Linked DNA regions of Drosophila melanogaster. The protein of the gene in region 2 interacts with the protein of the main gene of each other region in a pairwise test. Each region holds a gene or a part of one and is shown on either strand. Other genes may lie near its edges.

Region 1 (7,948 bases), on a different chromosome or scaffold from region 2:
AGATGGACAAAATGAACCAAAAAGTAGCATTTTCTGTAACTCCAGTAATAGTAATCTCTCTATTGCAGTTGTGGTCGCTGTGGACACCTGAACGATTTGACGACGAACAATTAATCTCATTGTAGACTTAATACATTTGCAATTCATTTAAATTAACTACAATTATGCTTGCAATGTGAATACATAAAGACAAATAATCAATGAACAATTTAAGACTAAACAAATTCCAATTTAAGGTCTCTTTGCGAATCGATGTAACTTTAAGCTGGTCAAGTTGCAGTTGACGAATTTATAGTTTTTCGATTCCAGCGTAGGCGTGTGAACAGTTGCATATATATTTATATATAGATTGGCGTCTCTTGACCGGTGAGCAAACGAAACATGGACGTGGGCATTGTCTTCATCAGGATCTGATTGGAAAGGTATTGTTAATATAAGAATAACGAATTTAAAAACGCGTCATACCTCGCCCACTGAGGATGACAACAGCTTGACAATGGTATCGTGTGGCACGGCCACAACGCTCTGGTTGTTAATCTCAATGATGCGGTGGCCTACGCGTACTCCACCCCGCTCAGCGATTCCTCCACGCAAAAGACTGCAGATCTGCATTAAATAAATACATATGATTAGAAGGATTAGAATAAGAAGAATAAATTCAGCATTTTATAATTACCACGCCATTTTGAACACTAAAACCCAACTGGAACAGCGCCTTGGGACGCAGGATCTTAACCTCGACGACAGGCGGACAGGGCACAACGGTGAACTTGACGGCAGTTTGGTTCTTGGCATTGCGTATGTAGCTCTGGCAGGTGGACAGCGGCAGTCCCACCAGGCTCATGCCGTTAATGGCGATCAGCTGGTCACCGATGTTCAGCTGGCCGCAGCGGGCAGCTGCTCCTGAACTCATCAGGTTGGCAATCACCACGGTGGGCAGCATGGATCCCCAGCCACTCTCTACGATCACCACGCCTAGGATCTCGCCTTTCGCCTTCGGCACAACTACCTCCTTTTGCAGCTCCTTTTTGGCAAAGATCTCCAGCTCATCACCGAAAATCTCCTGACTGTTGAGCACCTCCTGGTAGTCCATCTCTTTGGCCAGACTCTCGTTTTCGATGCCGTTCGCCTTCAGGAACTCCATGTAGGCCACCTGGTTAGGTTTTGATTGTTAATTATACGTGCCAATAATATTATTAATATTCGCGTACCTGGAAGGCCTGTCCAATGGACTGAGCTATGAACTGCGCCTCATCGCTTTCGAACACGTGGCAGATCATTTTGGGCGTGCGATTGTGCTTGCTGAGTGGCTCTTTGGGGGGCGACTCCTCCTCGCCTATGCCCGGAGTGGGAACATCACCTAATGGACTGGTGATCGATGGATCCACAACACTATTCGGTACGAATCGACGACGAGCCATCAGCACAACCAGATCGCCAATGTCAGCTATATAGGATATAGTACGCAGCGCATGGTCCATCATGATCTCCTTGAGATCCGTGTTAAGCACCATTATCTTTTCGGTTGATATGAACAGGTCCACTTCAGTGCTCGGCTGACTTTCGCCCTCGGGAGCCTGGTAAAAAAATAGCAAATCATATATTATATAATGCATTTAATTCTTAATGCTATCATTTGACGACTGAAAGGGGCTAACGAACGCTTACCAAAGCCTATCGAGAGGAATGCGCAGCAGGGAACGAGAAAAGCGAACGAGAAAGTTTTTAGACACACACATAGAGCATAACCTAGCGGGGTTTCCTTGAATGGATGTGCTTTCGTGTGCATCACCAGGTTTTCACTTCACTTACCTTGATCCTGGAAACGGCCTCCTCGGCCTGCATCATTCTGGTCGACTTGGTCGGCTGACCCTCGCAGACAAGTTGAGTGGATCCAAGGTATCTGGCCCGAAACAACACGCCCTCAATGAGAACTTTGGGTTCCAAGAGACCTAAGAACGAACATTATTTAAATTAGTTACGAAGTGCGTTAATGGTCTTCATTTCTGATTGTTAATACACATAAGGGTAGTTTAATAAACCTAAACATCTGCTGGGTAACAGAGACTTACGTGATGTCAGCATTAAATAGATTTGAATTGCAGCGTGAAATGTTGAATCGGTTTCCATATCAGTAAACGAACAACAAGGGGCGTTGACAACTGTGCTAACTTACCCTCTTTGTTCCGCGATTTGGCCTTCTTGTCCGAGTTGGCAGAGTCCTTCAGGGATTTAATAGAGCCCGTGGGACTTTTGGTGAACTGCAGTTTTTCCGGCGAGCTTATGGAGATGTCGGTCGTGCCCACAATCTGACAGATGTCCGGCGAATTGGGTGTCAACGAGGTGCCGATGCCTTGTCGAATGGTGGCCGTCGAGTAGGTTTGCGGCTTGCTATTATTCATAGGATTCGGATTGTTGTTGTCCGACGTGCCATTTAGATGCCCATTGCTGGCAATATCCGTGCCCTCATTGGCATTGTTATCAGCCAGGCTCTGTAAAATTATTATTTCGTAATTATTTTGAGCTGATATCTCTGTAAGTTTGCATTCCTCACCTGATCGGCGAAGAAATCCTGCTCATCGTGCCTCTGCTGACCCAATAGACGATCTGTTTCAAGGTCGGTGTCTGGTTCCTCATCCGCCGCCGCACCTTGGGCCGTCGAGATCGTCGTCCCTTTGCGTGGAACCCAAACCGGTGAATCTGGATCCGTGGGCAGCACTTCGTCACAGAATTTTAGTTTTTCAGGCTGCGTTTTAGCACGCTGCAAGGCGGAACGTATCTCCTTCATGGCCTCCTGGATTTCCGAAGCAGCCTGCGATGGCAAAGATCCTCCCGCAGTTACTGGTGTCACCCCCAGTCCTGATCCCGCTGACTTCTCTGTGTGAGTACCTCCCAAAGCTGCTGCATAAACCGCACCGTAGTGACTGTCCAGTGGATTATCAGCATCTGGGACCATGGTCATGGATTCACTTGCATCGGCGATCTCGATTTGGGGCGGCGATGATGGAGGCGGAGCCGGGGGCATGGGCAGTGAGGCGAAGTCGCTTATCAGCGCCGATTGCGAGGCATCTGTGGTCAATGTGGCCAAGCTGGCGCTCATCACATTGTAGTCGTTCTCCAGCCGCTCGCCATTACCGTTGTGCTCGTGGACGGGCTGAGATTGGGACGATTGCTGCTTGTCACACACCACGGATACGTTGTTCTCCGTGTCGGAGGCGTGGCCACTGCTCAGGCCATCTTCTAGGACAGGCATGCTCGTATACAGTTTACCAAAATCCGTGGGGCAGTTAATGTCGTTAGACAGACTGTCCAAATCACCGCAATTCGAATCGTAATCCGTCGTCTCGGGAGACAGGGTAAAGTTTCGGGAGTGTCGGCGCAGATTTGCCTCCAGTTCGGTGTCCGCCAAATCGCCGCTGCTTCGGCTATTCGAATCAATGTACAGCTCAATATCATTATGCTCCTGGTAGGCCGTCGATGGATTCTGGTCACTGGGCTAGAAATCGAACAATCGTTAGCTATTTTAATGAATTTCATTTCGTTATGACTCACTGGCTTTTTAGTAGGCGACCGGTGAACCATGTAGAGCTCATCTTTAGGTATTCTCGCCAACCGCTGTCCTATATATGCCTGCTCCATGGGCGTGGCTGGGTACTCTTGTGGCTGCTAGTCAATCAAAATGCAATATTAAATGGGTTTCTAGGCTTCTTGGAAGTAGTAGTACTCACCGAGCTAGCGACATCGTCTCCACTTTCCGTGGTGTAATCCGTGTACCGCTTTTCGTCCTCCGGATTCGCCTTGAAGAACTCCTCCAGCACCTTTCTGGTCTCTGAGAATTCGTACAGGTAGTCGAAAGTAGGTGTTTTCTCGCGAAGCGTCCCGGAACGCTCTTCCTCGTGGTCGACCAAATCGATAAGGTTGCCCACGGATGCTTTAGCTGCAGCAGTTGCATTATTAGCGACACTGGTGGTGGGCGAAACTCTTTGCGGGAAACCCGGCGGACGTTTTCTAGGACCACCCATGGTAATGGTATTTGTATTCGGTTGACTTCCAAATCGTCGCGGTGAACCCTCGTACTCGGCTATTGGCAGCTGTCCAATCATTTTGGTCACCTTGAGGACATCCTCATTGCTGCCTGGACGCTGGCCACTCGATGCCTTGTTCATCCAGTTTGTGTCAATGTCGTCGAACACCACGATCTCACCATCACGCAGGCACTGACCGTCCGCCTTGCCCACATCCGTTGGTGAGCCGGGGCTGGCCAATCCCTTAAAGAAAAAGCAGAAAAATCTCATTGTAGTGACTGAAACTACGCCTCTAAGTAATTCTCCAAGTTAAATTACCTGTGGCAGGACATCCCGTGTCTCAAACTGGCTGCCCGGACTCCTACCCAGTCGGATTTGATGCAACTGCGGTCGCTGGTAGTAATAGCTGCCAGAATCGCGTCCCGCATTCGAACCATAGCTGCCGGATCCCTGAACACCTCCGCCCGATGGCGAAAGACCCTGCAGCGGAACGTAGGACAGCTCGCCATTGAGATCCGGCGAATTGAGCACCGTGCTGGCTGGCGTCACATTTGGGCTACGGGTTCGCATCTCCCACACATAACGTTCCTGCTGCTGCTGCTGCTGCTGGTGCTGATGCGATTGCTGCTGCTGCGCCTGCTGGCCAAAGTTCATCTGTATGTGCGGTGGATTGACCATGGACTCGTTACTGCTGTCACTGCAGGAGTTTGAGTTCATGGCTGCACCAACAACTTTGATTCTCCAGGTATGAGGGACTGCGGCTTCGATACTACTACAACTACTGCTCTAGTGCTGCTGCTGCTGCATCCGCTGCTGCTGCTGCGATTGCTGCCTCACTGTGGGCCACTGCCTGGGGGAGAATGGATGATTAGTCGATGATCTAAGGCGGCAATGATTCACTGCGCTGCAGCTCAGCCCAGAAAAAAATCAGGGACAGGTGGTCGTGTCGATGACGTACTTTTGCTGGATACCTTGCCGCTGCGTACTATATATTTAAATCGACATAGAAATACCTGGATTACCGGGTGTGTTTAGACATACGCGATACGGACAACAGGAACCAGCACAGTAAAATGCCAATCTATAAAATTGCTGATTTGTTATTTTTGGACCTAAGCCTATTGCTTTAAATTGGGTTTGCCCCAATCATTCCCTAATCATTCTCATGTGTATTTGTATCTTATTACAGGTCCTAGCTCACCTCGTTAAATGTAATTGAGTTTAGCTAATAATAAGTATTCCATTGTTTCGAGCTTCGGTTTGTTGCTGCACTGGTTTGGTAACCTCTGGTTGTGGTGACCCCCTGGCTGGCCAGCGCAATCAATGCGGGCAATTAACCCACTATTGCCTGTCCATGTGTCTATATGTGGACACCTTTTTTAGGGCCCCCCGCCGCGGTTGCCACTGACCGAGCTTGCGAGTTTCCGAGTTCCGGAGCTACCGTGTCCGTGGTTGATTGCGCACACGTAAACTTGGCCTCCAAAAGTCCTCGCGCAGGCAAAACAAACGCAGGAAGCTGCAGCCAGACACAACAACCACCCACGCGAAGGTTGAAGGATGTGTGGTGGGTGGTGCAAGTGGGTGGTGCCAGGGGGCGATGGTGGTGCTGGTGCTAGCCCTTTGTTGTCGCCGATTGTTGCAATCACTCAGCACTTTGGAGGCGTGGGAAAAAAACAAACTCCCCGTTACCGTTATGTGTATCTATCCATGTGCGTATTGTTAAAAATCAATAGATTTGTCGTATTTTTTTTGCAGCTCCTTTGCTTTTCGTTTCGTTATTTTTTGGTGGGGGCACCGCACAACACAACACACTCATGCACACACTCGTCGCATAACGACGCACACACGCAGCGCACTCGAGCAACAACAACTGAAACGGCGGCAACAACAACACGGCCAGCAAATAGGCACGAAAACAACACCTGTCGCGGTTTTATATTTACCATTTAATTCATATTTATTGCACTACTCCTTCAGCAACTCGATTGGCGCAGAGCGATTGGCAGCAATATAGATAGTCTCTGCTAGAACATCGATGGCCTATCGATTGCTATCGACAGCGAACAGCCGGACAGTGTTGAGCAGCGTTAGAGGGTACTATTCAATTCGTACCTAAGTAGGTGCTAAAAGCCATTTTAAACATATTTAAATATGTTTCCTTCTCCACCCCAGCTTTACTTGACTTTACCCTTTCTCCTGTACCTTGCCCTAATTACGCGGTACCGTCTACTTTTCCAACACTCCTTGTACGATGAATTTCCCGCGCCAATTGATAACACTTTTTCGAATAATATCAGTTTAGCATTTAATGATTAATGTACTCCATCTGGGTTTTGTTTTTCGTTTAATATTTGCAACATTCGAACGGATAGTACAAGTACAAGTGGTGTATAAAAGTTCGATGAGCAAAATTGACAAGGATTGTGTGGCAGTAAACAGTTTTTCTTGTTCTTCGTTAGCTTATAATTCGTTTTATATATTTGTGTATATTGAAACAATTTCTTGCAGTCTTGCCAGAATTTCAGTGATAATAATTCGTTCGTTCAAGATTTATCAAGCAATTAAAATTTTAACAGCAAGTTTTGTTTTTCCATCGAAAACTTAATGAATTAAGTTAGGAATTAGACACGGATTATTTTCCCAAAAATTCTAGCAACACCGGTGTGTGGTTGTGTGATGTTTTCTTTTAATTGTTGTTTGCTTGCTTCGCTTTTAATACATTAATTACAGTGTAAAGTTGCTCTATAGGCTAAACTGGAAGGAATGATTGCATTTAATTGTTGGACACAAAGTTGGAAACTTAATAAATAGTGTTTTCTAAAATTAGACTTGGGTTGGGAAGGGCGATAAAATAGTCAACAATATAAATAAGGTTTAATAATTAACTAACAGATACGAGTACAATGGGTTGGTTTACAAAAATCGGGTTAGTGGGGAAGTTGTTAGGGAAAGGCTTTAACTAACAGTCAAGGCCAACAAAAACATTGCGCACTTAGGATCTACACGTACACTAAACATAATTTTGGTAGTTTTGGGCTTAAACTAGTTGCTCGTTTGGTTGCCTAACATTAGTAAATACATACACGCGCTTAAAAACTACGCTACTTAATGATTATGATGTCTGGTTGTCAAATCAGGAATGGAATTTTAACAGCGAAACGAAACAGAATCGTAATCGAAATCGAACCAAAGACGTACAATAAATGATAGAGGGGATTGGACTTCCAACGGGGAAGGCCGGAGATTAAAGCTTTGTATGTTTGACCGTATCCGTCCAGTAGTTCTGTATTGTCATCGCCTCCAGCGAATTGAGAAACGAGTCGTTGTCCAGGCTGTACATCTCATCCGAATTGTCCTGCAAAATCAAGAGAGAGAACTATTTAGTGCATAGGACATTCAAGCGCCACTGGCAATTGGTCAACGAATCCTTACACTCACCCGCATCGTGCTATCATCGATATAGACACTCGAGTCTGGTTCGCTGAGCGCCTGCGGTTTGTTCAGATACCGACGACGGTACAGTACGATCCCAATGGTGCCCACTGTGCAGCAGACGCCGAAGACAGTGAAGCAAATCGCCGAAATGGCACCCGCATCCAGGAAGTACGTTCGCTGGAAATGGAAAAAAAAGCATGTTACTTTTGAAACCAATTTTTCAAATGATATCGAATTTAGCAATGATTAGTTTTCACCTACCTGAATGGCCAGTGCCTCGGATGAGATATTGCCCTCGTCGCCGACGCCTCCGTCGTAGAACCCGGATCCGGCCACGCCCCCCGCCACGCTGGGCGCCGCGGAGGCGGATCTGGTCAGAAGACTCTTGGTGTCGCCGGAGAAGTTGATGTAGCGATTGATGTGCTTATACTCCGCGGATAGAACCTTCGATTTTCGCGATCTATGCTCGCTTTCGGCACGCCTAAGTT
Region 2 (4,033 bases):
CCTAACGGGACTATATTACACGAGGCTTTGGTTAATTGCATAAATAAAACTGGGACGGTCCGGGTGGGTGGAGTAAAGCTTAATTAAGCCTGCTCCACCACCTGCCGACTCCCCATGGACCGGGCAAATAAATAATAAAAACAGAAATTGACACAAACGCACACAATTGTGGGTGGATAGTATGGAATGGGATGGGATGGGCATTGAAACAAACACGGAAATGGTTGCCAGAATAAAGGGACAGAATGGCCAACAAGGAAGTGCAGTGTCCTTAGGCTCTGGGCCAAGGGTGGTGGAGGAGCATAACCATAATACACCCGGGTCAAAGGTTATCGTTACGGGTTCGCTTCACTAAGCTGGCCTTTTATTAACCTTCTCGCAATGGGTTCGCACTATCCACAAATATGAGCTCTTTCACTTCTACGATTTTAATTGTCATATTTAGAAATGCGTGAAACATTTTGTTAATAACTATTAATAACTATTCTTGTTTGTTGGCTATCAAGAGATATATAATATAAACCAAACTACAGTTAAAGCTGCCGATCTTGTAGTTTATTGAGTAACTTGCGAAGGTAAAACAAAGTGGGATCCACCGCCACTAATCAAAATTCGTGTATAATGTGTAGTAGTAGAATTAAAATCATTTTGCGGGCCCAGCAACCGAGGCGATCTCCTCCCGTCCTCCTGCACCAGTCGTCCCCATAGGTCTTGCATGCATTTCAGCGTGAAATGGCGATGGACTAACGAATGTGAGAGCGCTCCAAGGAATTCTAACGACTGCGCCCCGAATCCTGCGGATCGATATTGGACACCCATTGCACGGGATTGATGTAGATGTTGGATATGGTACCGCGCAGCGTGTCAAAGCCCTGATTGAGGGGAACCGGCTTGGCCCGCTTGTCCACCTGTTTCATCCAGTTCTGCCAGGCGCCTTGGCGGCGCTGACGGCGTTCCTCCTCCAGTTTCTGCTTGTTGCACTGCAGTCGGATCAGGCGTTGTTTTTCCTGTTGCTGCTGCTCCCGCTTGGCTTGCTCCCACTTCTGCAGACGGTTCTTTGTGTTCTCGGGAGACACCTTCCTTGTAGGGGCGGTGCTAGAGCTGGAAACCGATCCCAAACTGGAGCTAGAGGTCGAGGATTTCTTTTGCTTTTGCCGCTGCTGCTGCTGCTGCTCCTCCTTGCGACGACACCACTCCTGGAAGTGCTCCTGGGCATATTTCTGTCGCAGTGCTGCCTCCGCCTCCCGCTTTTCGCGCTCCTGTTTGGCAGCCAGCAGATTCTTCTGCTTCTCGGCGGCCTTTCGCGCCTTCCAGTCCTCGAAGGCCTGCGGGCCAGGGCGTTCCTTATGCTCCTCCAGCTGCTTGTAGCACGTGGACGAGTCAGAGACGACGCTGGCCAGGCTCAGAGGGGGCATACCGGTGCATCCATCGGTGGACTGCAGAGCACCGCGGTACATGTCCGACCAGCTGCAGGTGGACATCGAGGATGCGTCATGGTTTTGATTGTTGCCCGAGCTACTCAGGCTGTATGTCCGACTGGAAATCTGGCCCTGGTTAGTCTCCTTTACGGAGGCCTGCTTGTAGAAGGTCCTGCCGCTCAGCGCATCCAGATTGTTATCCTTGCAAAAGGTCCTGGTGTTAATGCTGTGCGATTTTTCCTCCTTGAAAAATGTCCTGCCGCTGATATTGTCCAAATTGTCGACATCCTCACCGCGTTGCGTCACCGTTGGCGTGCAGCTGCCTAAGGAGCTAAGGCTCTGCACATCGTGATCAAAGTTCATCACGGTCTCCGTGTCCGTGGCAGCCGCCTCATCGCCTTTGTTCATGACCCGGTGAAACACATCATCTGCATTCGCTTTATCCTCAACTTTCGCCTTCTCGTCTGTGAAGCTCATTCTGCCATTTAGCAATGCATCGTTGGCCTCCTCCTCATCCAGTTCCTTGCAGAAACTCAAAATGGAATCCGTCTCGCTTTCCGAATTGTCGGCATGATCCCCCAGAGAATCCCCAAAATCCTCATAATCTAGCTGAGGTTCCACCGCTTCACGATCTTCACCCTGGCCAACATACCTCACTGTGGGAGCCCCATAGGTGTGGTTTGTATAGCCCAGCAGCGACTCCGAATCCTCATCACTAATGTCCGACTGGGAAGCTGGACGTACTTTTTCCCGACCAGACACCTGCTGACGATCCACCACCGAGCCATCGCTACTCCGACGCGCTACAAAGGCCATTCCGGCAGTCTGCGAAAGATCGACAAAAGTGGGGGATGTGGAAATTGAATTGGGAAAGATTTCTCTCGAGTTTTCGAGACGATATGTCGTGTCGGCTTTGTGTCTGTAGACTGCTGAAACATAAAATGTACACAACGACTGACAATCAAAGCGTAAGTTCACCGATTGCTGTGGTCGAAAAATAGAGTAAAATATTCCATTTAGAGTCACATCTAAGTATACCAAAGTGTAAAGCTCGTTAGTGTTTTTATGAGAGACTGCATTTTAACATTCTGTTTAATACGTTTAACTAAGAAACCGAAATCATTAAATATGAAAATGGAAATTCATTGAATTTCCGCTCTGACAGGTTACAAATTTGATATCTTTTCCGCCATCACCAGATACCACATGCACACGTATGTGCGTCCGGTCCGGGCACGAGTCCGGTGCAAAATGAAAACATTTTAACTAATGGCAAACAATTACTTAAACAACGAGCCGAATGACGGCGCGAAGGATGAAACCAAAGGTAATTAAAACCCAACACCACACGCATCCTCATCCACATAAACCTCAATTTCAGCGGGTGAATTTTGGGGTGTTGGAGCGAAAAGTCGCCGGCTCAAAAATCGTTTGTTGTCCTATGAGGGCGGCGAGTTCGTTTGTTTCTCTGCCTGCTCTTGGCCAGGTAATGAGCGTCTCTTTCGTTTTTAATGAGTCCTGGCACACATACACACACACGCACATTGAGATAGTGTGGAGCTCACCTGGGTTCCTCCCCCAGACTCAGGTGTAATAAAAAAACTTATCGCCGCTGGCTTTTGGGCGCTCTGGGTCGCGGCGTTTGGCAAACACAATGAAATGATTTTGTACCTCGTTAATTGCTGTATCGTCGTTCACCATCATCTTGGCTCTCAAATTAAGGCTGAACGGTGAGTGACACAATTAAGTTGGCCCTTTTTTCAACGACCTGCCAAATGACTTGTCAAAAAGTGGGCGTGGCTGGGTATGTGGTTGCGTGTGTCATCTACAATAGGCTCAGTGCTCCATTTCCAGAATCAGGTCAAAGATAAAGCTGCTTTAAAGCCGCTAGCCAAAAATAAAAAACTACAGTGAAAGGACTCTGGCTTAAAATCAATATCGATTAATTATTGTAAGCTGCAGGTCTAAGTACACGGTATTCCACGATTTCAATTAAAACAAGTCAGGTTTCTCGACTATCGAACACCCTCTACACAGCTGCTTGGATTGAGATATAGATATGAAAAACAAGAGATAAAGAGGTAAATACTCTTGTCGAGATTGCTGATCAGCGCTACCTGGTGGCGGTTTCCAGACGCCTTAAAACAAACCATGGACCCTCGAAAGATCTAATGGACTTGGGCGATACCCTGCAATCGTTGGAGACCATAACGTACTTAGACTTAAAGTATTTAAATATTTTCTGTTGGATAATAATGTACTGGGAATTGGCGGAGCCAACTGTTGCATTGGCCGATGAAATTCCGACAAGTGGTTAAGCCATTATGAAATGTTTCGGTTACACATTTCAGGCACGCAGCCAATAAAAGTTTTATTTTGAGTTTTAATTATATTTTTAACCCGTGTTATTGTCACGGACGAGCCATTGATTATTGAACGATTGGACGATGCGCTGGTTGTTGGTCTTTGGGCGCCCGTTTAATTAAAAACGTGACAATTTTACCTGTGGCCAGTGCGGCGCATATTTCATACGCCATGTGTGACCTCTGACCCACTCGCAGACTGGCCCGTCGAGTCTACATCCATTTGAAAATATATAAAATGTTGTTTACACT

Evidence for each region. The genes of interacting proteins can lie anywhere in the genome.
Region 1: the proteins of CG18266 (region 2) and X11L interact in a two-hybrid assay, tested with the Drosophila melanogaster proteins (one large-scale study listed by BioGRID).

Annotation. Positions count from the first base shown.
Region 1 is NC_004354.4:17,597,700-17,605,647, reverse strand, and holds the start of X11L (X11L), read right to left. Parts: upstream 6,041-7,948; 5' UTR 5,969-6,040; intron 5,658-5,968; exon of another isoform or gene 5,227-5,657; intron 4,876-5,226; 5' UTR 4,743-4,875; coding exon 4,344-4,742; intron 4,269-4,343; coding exon 3,729-4,268; intron 3,667-3,728; coding exon 3,553-3,666; intron 3,497-3,552; coding exon 2,555-3,496; intron 2,493-2,554; coding exon 2,177-2,492; intron 1,953-2,176; coding exon 1,813-1,952; intron 1,675-1,812; coding exon 1,669-1,674; intron 1,578-1,668; coding exon 1,212-1,577; intron 1,154-1,211; coding exon 677-1,153; intron 607-676; coding exon 466-606; intron 411-465; coding exon 339-410; 3' UTR 1-338. Other genes in the region: CG12991 (uncharacterized protein), read right to left, coding at 7,270-7,401, 7,464-7,637, 7,722-7,948.
Region 2 is NT_033779.5:5,595,140-5,599,172, reverse strand, and holds CG18266 (uncharacterized protein), read right to left. Parts: upstream 2,341-4,033; 5' UTR 2,235-2,340; coding exon 774-2,234; 3' UTR 537-773; downstream 1-536.